3 linked regions of the Xenopus tropicalis genome follow. The protein of the gene in region 1 purifies or fractionates together with the protein of each later gene. This does not show direct contact. Links are inferred from orthologs where the notes say so. Each region holds a gene or a part of one and is shown in the gene's direction. Other genes may lie near its edges. The genes, in order: arhgap12, asap1 and tjp2.

What was found.
Region 2: the proteins of arhgap12 (region 1) and asap1 purify together in Homo sapiens (co-immunoprecipitation; 3 studies listed by BioGRID and IntAct, with this or other methods). This does not show direct contact. The link is inferred for Xenopus tropicalis from reciprocal best matches to the Homo sapiens genes ARHGAP12 and ASAP1.
Region 3: the proteins of arhgap12 (region 1) and tjp2 purify together in Homo sapiens (co-immunoprecipitation; 3 studies listed by BioGRID and IntAct, with this or other methods). This does not show direct contact. The link is inferred for Xenopus tropicalis from reciprocal best matches to the Homo sapiens genes ARHGAP12 and TJP2.

What each region holds. Positions count from the first base shown.
Region 1 is NC_030682.2:23,100,571-23,103,235, forward strand, and holds the end of arhgap12 (rho GTPase-activating protein 12), read left to right. Parts: intron 1-204; coding exon 205-339; intron 340-595; coding exon 596-698; intron 699-1,418; coding exon 1,419-1,593; 3' UTR 1,594-2,058; downstream 2,059-2,665. UniProt on the Homo sapiens protein: GTPase activator for the Rho-type GTPases by converting them to an inactive GDP-bound state.
Region 2 is NC_030682.2:142,094,851-142,098,510, reverse strand, and holds part of asap1 (arf-GAP with SH3 domain, ANK repeat and PH domain-containing protein 1), read left to right. Parts: intron 1-570; coding exon 571-619; intron 620-3,058; coding exon 3,059-3,222; intron 3,223-3,660. UniProt on the Homo sapiens protein: Possesses phosphatidylinositol 4,5-bisphosphate-dependent GTPase-activating protein activity for ARF1 (ADP ribosylation factor 1) and ARF5 and a lesser activity towards ARF6.
Region 3 is NC_030677.2:129,452,787-129,456,446, forward strand, and holds part of tjp2 (tight junction protein ZO-2), read left to right. Parts: intron 1-820; coding exon 821-906; intron 907-3,035; coding exon 3,036-3,201; 3' UTR 3,202-3,660. UniProt on the Homo sapiens protein: Plays a role in tight junctions and adherens junctions. Acts as a positive regulator of RANKL-induced osteoclast differentiation, potentially via mediating downstream transcriptional activity.

The sequences.
Region 1 (2,665 bases):
AGACTTTGCGCCATAAAAATCCTCCAGAGGGGCATATCTGTCCCAGGGGCTTCTAGTTGAACTATTGTAATAAAACTGGTGGCAACATGTTTATCTACCCTTGCTTGCTGTCCGCTTCCATTTAATTATCAAAATAAAAAGCACTCGTACTGTATTGTATGATCACATACCTGCCTAATGTTGTCTTCTTGGATTACATTCTAGATGAGAAACTGGACTTGAATGACAGCAAATGGGAAGATATTCACGTCATTACAGGGGCCCTGAAGATGTTCTTTAGAGAACTACCTGAGCCGCTCTTCACCTTCAGCCACTTCAATGACTTTGTGAATGCCATTAGTAAGTGTCCACTTAATGTTGCTGGCATATAACCTCTGTTATACACGTCTGAGCTGCAATTTCTAATCTATTTTGTGTTTTTGTGCCACGGAGAGTGGTGCCGTTGAGTGTTTATTGAGGGCAAGACCCAGAAATGAGTACATAATGCATGTATGAATGGTTCTGGCAGTGGCAGTACTTTCCCACTTGAGGGCACTGCCTGTTAAAGTATAAGACCTATGCATACACAATTCATAGAAGGCAACTTCTTTTCCAGAACAAGAGCCCAAGCTGCGTGTGCAAGCAATCAAAGACTTGATTAAACAGTTGCCAAAGCCAAACCATGACACTATGCAGGCACTTTTCAAGCATCTCAAGAAGTAAGTGTCTTGTTCAATTTAGTAAACATATATATTTCTAAATATCAGTCTATATAATGCTGTACTTACACAGCACACAGCCGATGTTATATCTATCTATTTATCTCCGTAATGGTCATTGCCCTTCAGTGGATTTTATATTGATGCATTTGTCTGCTTTAATTTTAAATTACAGTCCATTTGGGCTGCAGTCGTATTGGTCAGGTACCAAGCAGCAGCATTGGACTGAAGGGTCTGGGGCCCACCAAGGCTATCACCTTAGGGGCCCCTCCACCCCAGTCAAGAACCATCCCCCCCTCCTCCCCCCAGTGTGGCCTGCAGTGCTGCACTTCATTTGCTGGCCCCCTGCTGTCAGTGAGCTGTAAAATTGGGAATGGAGGGTAGGAGCTCTTGTGCCTGCATGTTCTTTTTCCTACACAACCTTTCTTACTGCTCCTTTTCTCACTGAAGTCTAAGTCCTGGTAGAGCCGCACAGGGATTGGATGGGTGACGTTTGAATTCCCCCCCCCCCCCCCAGCCTTTCTAATCCCCATGCGGCTTTATTGGGACTTGTTAGAGAAAAGAACATGCAGACACTCACCGTCCTCACTTCTGAAATCTGCAGCTCCCTGACAGGCAGGGGGGCCTAGTTAGCAGCACGGCCAGGTCCCCCTAACACTCAAAAACCCACCAGACCCGGGACTGTGAGAAGTAATTTTCTCTATGCTTTGGCCTCTGTAGGGTTGTTGAAACTGGAGAAAAAAACAGAATGACTTATCAAAGTTTAGCAATAGTTTTTGGACCAACCCTGCTGAAACCGGAATCAGAGACTGGTAATATCGCCATCCACACAGTATACCAGAACCAGATAGTGGAACTCATCCTACTGGAATGCAACTCTATTTTTGGCCGCTGAGTCCAATGGTGAACGACAAGCAGGAAGCAACCACTGATAGGCCATATCCTTGGGAAGGATCCAGCTGTGCCGTTTCATTTCTCATCTCTGAATTTTATTTTGTGGACCAATGAGCTGATGGGAAACTTTTTTTTTTTGTCTCCTGCACTTTTTTTTTTTTAAGATGGTGACTGTGTCTCATTTGTACATATTTTTAACCTGTTGCCAGGTTATTGTATTTGGACGGTTTTTTTTTTTTTACTGTGTGTGCGCACATGATAATTCCCTAGCAGGACTGCAAACCTAATGTAGACACTGGATTTACTGGAAACAAAATAAAGCTACTAATTTCATTCTGTACAAACGGACTTCTACTCACTCTTGGAAGCCGAGCTTGGTTCGCTGTGTGGTAACAGATGATGTTCATTTCATTTTTGTTCATGCCTCTAAACAAACTCCTCGTGCAGTAAAATCCATCTGACATTATACTTTGTTGGTTGAGTTAATGATAACCCTTCTTGGTTGACTTGCTTAGACCAGGACCACATGGGCGGCTAGGTCACCCAGCATCATAACCAGCTCTGTCTGGGAGCTACATTGCATTAGCTACTGGGGCACGAATGGGGCACCCCATAAGGGCTCATAGCTATTGACTGTACCACTCAATATAGCAAAACAGTCAACACTCATCTGAATAATGTCCAGCAAGAATGGGCATTAGCAGTTCAGCCAATAAGAATGGCTTAGACAGTGGCACTTCCAGTGTTGTCCAGAGATTACCTTGGATAACACTTGCCCACAGCCGTAGGGCAACTCAAGAGAAGCTCAGGAACGATTCATAGTGATTGACTATCCAACCAAATATAGAAGTACTTTTGTAACTCATAAGGATAATGTCCAGCAACAGTGTACATTGCCAGTTTAGCCAATGAGTATGGCCCTTCCAGTGTTGTCTAGATAGTGTCTTGAATGACACTTGTCTGCCCACAGCCATAGGGCAACCCAATAGGAAGGAAGGCTTCTAGCAAGTGACCTCATTATCCAGATGAGTGAAGACTATGCTGCTGTATTCAGTAATGTCCAGCAACAATGG
Region 2 (3,660 bases), about 120 Mb from region 1:
CCTGGATAGGGAATATGGTGCTAATGCGATTGTCTGGCTCTTGGGTATGGCAATGAAGGGCATAGGAAAAGTCAGAGCAACGACCACATCAATGAGCCAATGCGGTCCCTGATCCGCATGAAAATCTCATCTGTCCAATAGACATCTGGCCAATCTTTTGGCAGATATTGGTCGATGAGGCCTGTTAGAGGGTCCCATACAGTGGCAGATAAGCTGCCGAGTCGGTTTAAATTGTAATTAAAAATCTGAGCTGTCAATCGTATATTGCAATATATGACTGACAGCTCAGATTTTTAAATACATTTATAACAGGTATGGATGATTTAATTAAAAAAAGGATTTGGGTTTTATGTTTAATTTTGACTTTGTGACAGGTTCCCTTTAATGAGGCAAAGGAACGTATCTTTGGTTATTTTAAAATACCTAATTATATCTTCATCTAATTTATCTCACAGTTTGTTTGTTTTTTAGTTTGCTTATATTTCATTCTTACAAATTTCATAATAAATGTCTCTGCTTTACCAATTGGTACTTATATATTATTTTTTTTTATCTTGTTTTCCTTTGCAGACAACAGAACATACCACTTCCAAGCAGAGGACGAACAAGAATACATTGCGTAAGTGAAAGACTTACATGTGCATCCCAGGCAGATAGGGGTGCAGGGAGTTTCAGTTCATAGTCACAGAGGTGCTGTAATGTCTCCTTGAGAATTGGAGTTTACACAGTATAAAGGGAGTTTCATTGAGTCATAAAGTACAATTTATTTAGTTTACACAGTATAAAGGGAGTTTCAGTGAGTCATAAAATACCATTTATTTTCATTGTGTTATCATGAAAGGAATGCAGCAATAGGCATTTATTTAATGCAGGAACGTGTTTTGCATTCCTCGGGGTATAGTCATTTCATGGTCAATACCTAAATCTCAGCCACCCCAAAGCTGAATGTGCCTGTTTATTGCTCGTAGGCTCAACCGAGGGGTCATTGTACCATCCCCACAGATTAGTGCCACCACTTTCCTCTCATGTTATACAGGTATCAGATCCCTTATCTGGAAACCCATTATCCAGAAAGTTCCGAATTACGGATAATAATAAAACAGTACCTGTACTTTATCCCAACTAAGATATAATTACCCCTTATTGGGGGCAGAACAGCCCTATTGGGTTTATTTAATGGTTAAATGATTCCCTTTTCTCTGTAATAATAAAACAGTACCTGTACTTGATCCCAACTAAGATATAATTACCCCTATAATTACCCAGTCTTATTGTATGTATGTATGTATAACTTTATTTATAAAGCGCCACAAGGGTACGCAGCGCTGTACAGTCTTACAGAATACAAAATTACACACAGGGAGGACAAGTGATATAATAAATAAATACAATAAATACATATATGTAAACATATATATATATATATATAAGTGCCATGTGGTATGAGACACAGTAGGAAGGAGGTCCCTGCCCCGTAGAGCTTACAATCTGAGTGGTTGGGTAACATACAGGCACAAACTGGAAGGTAAGAGTGCATCAGGTATGGGCATTTGCCCTTAAGCGCAGGACTGGGCAAAATAATGTTTTAGTGCTCCAGAAGGTAACAGCTGAGTTTTTTCTTAAAGAGAGTGGGTGAGTTTTCCCTACGGAGGGATTCAGGGATAGAGTTCCAGAGGTAAGGAGCAGCGAGATAGAAAGGTTTAAGCTGAGAGAGCGCAGTGGGTGTGGATGGTGTAAAAAGACGGAGGCTCTGACGAGCGGAGAGGAGGAGACGACCAGGAACATGTAGGGAGACCAGTGAAGTAATGTAGTGAGGAGCAGAGGAGTGAAGGGCTTTGAATGTCAGCAGAAGGATTTTGTAAGCTATCCTTTGCTTGACAGGCAGCCATGCTAATGAGCTTAATTGAGGCCGAGCAGGATCCCTCTTAGGAGAGAGCAGGAGGATCCTGGCAACAGAGTTTAAGATTGATTGCAGGGGAGAGAGGTGGGAGTCTGGGAGGCCGGTTAGTAGGAGATTGCAGTTATCTAAGCGGGAAAGGATAAGGGCATGTATTAGTGTTTTAGCTGTTGCTTGTGAAAGAAAGGGGCGTATCTTGGCAATATTGCGGAGGAAAAAGCGGCAGGTTTTGGCAGTGTTATTAATATGGTTAGAGAAGGAGAGGGACTGGTCAAAGATAACCCCAAGGCAGCGTGCAGAATTTACAGGGTTGATGGTCATGCCATCAATAGTAATGGTGAAAGGAGGAGGAGGGCCAGGTTTGGGTGGGAAGACCATGAGCTCTGTTTTAGCTAGGTTAAGTTTGAGCTGGCGTCGGTTCATCCAGGAGGAGATAGCCAGGAGGCAGTTACCAATCTGGGTTTGGACATCAGCAGTTAGTGCAGGGGGGTCTAAGTATATCTGGATGTCATCTGCATATAGGTGGTATTTAAGACCTAAAGAAGAAATAAGGTCTCCTAGAGAGAGAGTGTACAGGGAGAACAGCAGGGGACCAAGCACAGAGCCCTGAGGCACCCCCACACTAAGCGGAACCGGGGTAGAGGATTTGTTAGTAAGAGCGACAGAGAAGGAGCGGTTAGAGAGATAGGAAGAGAACCAGGATGCTGCCTGATCCCGGATACCCAGAGAATAGAGAGTTTGCATAAGAATAGAATGGTCGACAGTATCAAAAGCAGAGGAAAGGTCTAGGAGAATGAGGACCGAGTAGCATCCTTTGGCCTTGGCAGTCTGTACATGAGAGCTGCCATACTGGGTTATTATGGGAACGTTACCATTCTTGCTTGCTGTTACCAAGCAGTACTGTACCTTCCAGTACAACACAGTAGCCTGAAAACATGTAGTCCCTCTATTCATATTTCTGTCAAACAACTGCCTGGTTGCTAGGTTAAATCAGACCATAGCAACCAGACAGCATCCAAGATATTATAATAGTAATAATTCAATAGCTGGATTTAATAATTCAAAAAATGTAATTTAAAAAAGTTACTTAGAGTTTTTTTCATAAAGTTTCATCTGTACCCTGTTCTAATATTAACATAACAGTGTGTTCTTCTGTAACAGGTGGATATCAGTTCTGACAAATAGCAAAGAAGATGCACTCAATATGGCTTTCCGGGGAGACCAGAGCACTGGCGAGAGCAGCCTGGAGGATCTGACTAAGGCCATTATAGACGATGTACAGAAAACGCCTGGAAATGAAGTTTGCTGTGATTGTGGGTCACCGGGTATGTAGCTTTGTGGTATTACACATGCACTAAGTGGGTTGTTTATGCTCAGCTTACTTAGTATTATGTAGATGGGTACAACCGAAAGGGTCACACAGGGAAGCTTGATAACGTCACATAATACTGCGACCCCTTCATTTTTCATAGGGATGCACCAAATCCAGTATTTTTTGGATTCAGACGAATATCTGAAAAAGCCAGAATCTTGGCCAAATCAAGAACTGAATGCTAGATTCGGTGCAAATTTTTTATTTTTGATGGTTTTTTAATTATTTGCCTTCTTCTGACTCTTTCCACCTTTCAAATGGAGGTCACTGACCCCTGGCGTCCAAAAAACGTTTGCTCTGTGAGGCTACAATTTTTTTGTCATTGTTACTTTGTATTACTTCTCTTTCTATATAGGCCCTCCTCTATTCATATTCCAGCCTCTCTTTCAAA
Region 3 (3,660 bases), on another chromosome or scaffold:
TATTTGGGCAATATTTCTTGCTTTATTTAATGTGTGCTCTAAGGTCTCTCAATTGACTTTCACATGCACCACTATTCAAAAATTGCAATTTGTTTAAAAAAATAGGGTACACTGTTTATGGTGGGTGAAAGCTGTTGTAATGTAGAATGGTGTTGCTGTCTCTTGCTTTACAGAATAATTTAGATCTGTCTGTCCTCTTCCAAATCTCTGCGGCATCCAAAATTTATACTTTGTCGCAACCCTCCGATAAATGTACAGGAGTGTCCAGTCCATTGATATCTCTAACCATTTCAGTTAGAAAATGGTGACTGCCTTGCCAAATTGTAAATGTTGTCTGTGTACCAATAATAAATGAAAATGTTGGAATTATACTTTGGTAAAATATATTTATTCCCGTAGACTGCCATAACCGTTGCACAAACAGCTGCTCTGATGGTCTCCTCTGTTTTTGCATAAAATACTAATTCTCAAAACTATTATATTTTAAAGTTAATTCCTGTAATTTACAAATTAGGTCTTATGGGGGACGACCATAACATGTCAAGGCGTCAAAGTACTGGTGTACGTGAGACGTGTTTTTGTTGATGGTATTATACACTAAAGTATTTCAAATATAGTGTTTATAGCTGCCATGTAATTTACAACTGTGGAAGAGAGACATGAAAGAGAGAAAAAGGTAATGTGTTTTAGCAGCACTTAATCAGACCAATAGTTATGGAATGATCCAGGTTTAGATAAGAACAAAACAACTAAAATAACTTGATTGCACCATGACCAAAAAATACAACTGACTATATTGCCTTTTATTATTATTATTTAGTTGGAGCTCGCCCAGAAACTTCCTGATATTTATGCTGTGCCAGTAAAGCCACAGAAAAATGAACAGAATCGACCACAGCCGACAAGGTACAAATTAATTCATTTTATCAGCAGTATGTATCAATTGCACATATAATGCTGCTTGTTTAAAGTGCATGAATAGCAGTACTTTATGTTGTAGGTAATGTGGCACATTATCTCTTTAATTTAACAAAAATGTATTGAGCATTATGGAATAAAGATCCAAAATTCCCCAACTGTAAAATATATAATTTTAAAATTAAATTAGTATGGTGGCTCTATTCAATTTACTGCATCATTATACCGTAGCACAATTGTATTACAGTACTAGTTCGGTCATGTCACCAGAAGTGATTTAGCGTTTTTCTACCATGTTCCATAGTTTCTAGTTATTGATTTGTTTAATTCTTAGATGCATTAATGCCTGTGTGGAGGCCATCAAATGTAGGTGTTCTAGTAACCAGGCAGAACAGATTTAAATCAGACTTTCTAAAATCACCTCTGCCTCTTGGCTTTACCAGCACCCCCTCAAACAAACATAACTCTTTGTGCAGTATTTTTTTTTTTTTTTTTTTTGGGCAGTTGGGCATTGGATTTAAGTCAAAGGGTGGTGGCAGAGCAGAGAGGAATCTAATCATGAAAGCCGTGGGATGAAGTATCATTAAAATGTCCACCCAAAAAAAATTTTTTTGTTGGCATATTGATGAAACGTTAGTATATTAAAAGGAAGGGATTGTAAAATAGTGAAATATACAAGTACAATGGAAGTGCAAATGATCTGGCCATGTATGTTTGCCAGATTACAAACATACAAAAGAGTGGGGTTTAATCAATGCACATTCCCTGGCCCTGTTTTATAAATAATTTGTATCTATGGAATTTTAGAAAAATGGGTTTTTAGTTACAAAGTTATGATCATAAAATTGACAAGCCACCATACCAGGTCAAGGTAAACCCAATATGGTGGTCTTTACCTCTGGTAACAGTAGCATTTCTTGGGAAAAGTGTCTCCTGACCAGAGCGTTGGTTAGTCACAGAGCTTAAGGTAGTCGTGCACAGCCAGGTTTAAGCTGCCGATTTATGTCCTTTAGACCAATTTGGCAGCTTATCTGCCATGTACGGGACCCCCTGATGGGCCTCCCTGATCGATATCTGGCTGAAAATCATCTAGGTGTTGATTGGGTAGGCTAATCTTAAAGAAGAACTATGCCGCCACCCCCCCCCCCCTCCAGGTACAACATCCCTCTTAACAGCCCTGCATCGACCCTCCTCACCTCACCCTTTTTGCATAGCCTATAAGTTTAAAAAGTGGCCCTATAAAAAAAAAAACCAAGCTAAACCAGCAGAGCAGTGCAGCAGTGTACCTAGGCGCCATCTTCCATTCATTAGAAAATGTTTCTGGTCACACTACCGACACGCTTGAGCATGCAAGGTTAGGGCCGATTCCCGGTTAGCCCCCACTGTGCATGCTTCTGTAGGGTTCATGTCGGCAGTAAGACCCAAAACATTTTCTAATAAACTGAAGATGGCGCCCAGGTATGCTGCTGTGCTGTTCTGCCTTTTTAAGCTTGGGTTTCTCTATAGGGTCTTTTTTCAAAGTTATAGGCAATGAGAGACTGCAGAGGAGAGGAGGGTCGATGCAGGGCAGTTAGGGGGGCTTTTGTACCTGGGGGGAGTTTAATTGTAATTACATTTACTAATATCACTTTGGTGGGCATCGCCTTTAATAAGAGCAAGAATGCAGGAATCTAAAGAATGACTAATTATAATAGATAGCAGAAACATTTTCTAGGTTGTATGGTACTTAATGGCAGTCCAGCTGAGGTATTCAGGAAGTTGAGGCATGTCAAGTTACCACTTTAACCTTTATTTGTATAGCAGATGGTTGGATATGATAGAAAGATGTATAATATGGATATCTGTAATAGATAATAAGTGTTGCTTAGATAGAAAATATAAAAACACTATATAGTAATGATGTGATAAAGGAGTTCCAAGTAGTCTTTAATGTTTTCTTGTAGTTTAAAGCATATTTGATATTTTGTTAGTGCTGCTGCTAAATGTATGAGTACCTGAGTAACACCACAGGAAATTAGTTGTTGTAGGTCAAACTACACTAGTCCATATTGCATGTGATGTGGTATCAAGAAAAAAACCTTATTAAATTATTTTCAATTTTTTTATTCCATATATAGTTCTCGCCCACCAGAGCCTCAAAAACCACCTTCCAGAACCTACCAAGATAACAGAGCGAGTTATGGGAGCGATGAGGAGGAAGAAGAATATCGGCGTCAGCTGGCTGACCAATCAAAGCGTGGATATTATTCCCAGCCTTCAAAATACAGAGATACAGAGTTGTGAAAATACTGCAGACTACACTTTGGACTTCACTGCAGAGGTGATTAATGGAACAGACTACTTATGTGTGGGCTGATACTGTAAAGTCTTATAGACTGCGTATATATCAGGAAATCACATGTAACATGGTAGTATACATCTCAATTTTTGTTGACACGTTGGAGATATGTGGAAATGTTTTCATTATACAGACATTGGAGTTATTCCTTATGCTAAACTGAAAATACTCAACATTCAGAAAATGTGTAAACAGAGTTAGACTGCCTTCTGTGAGCTTTTCTCAGTCTGCTCATTCATATAATGCTGGGGAAATATAAGCCAATATTCCCAAACAAACTGATGCAATTGAAAGTGGTTATGGTGGATGTAGTTACTTTTATGCATGGACGTGACATTCCAAAATAATCGTTTTGTAAGTGCCTTGCTTCAGTAACATCTTACATCAAGGGTGCCTGGCATGTG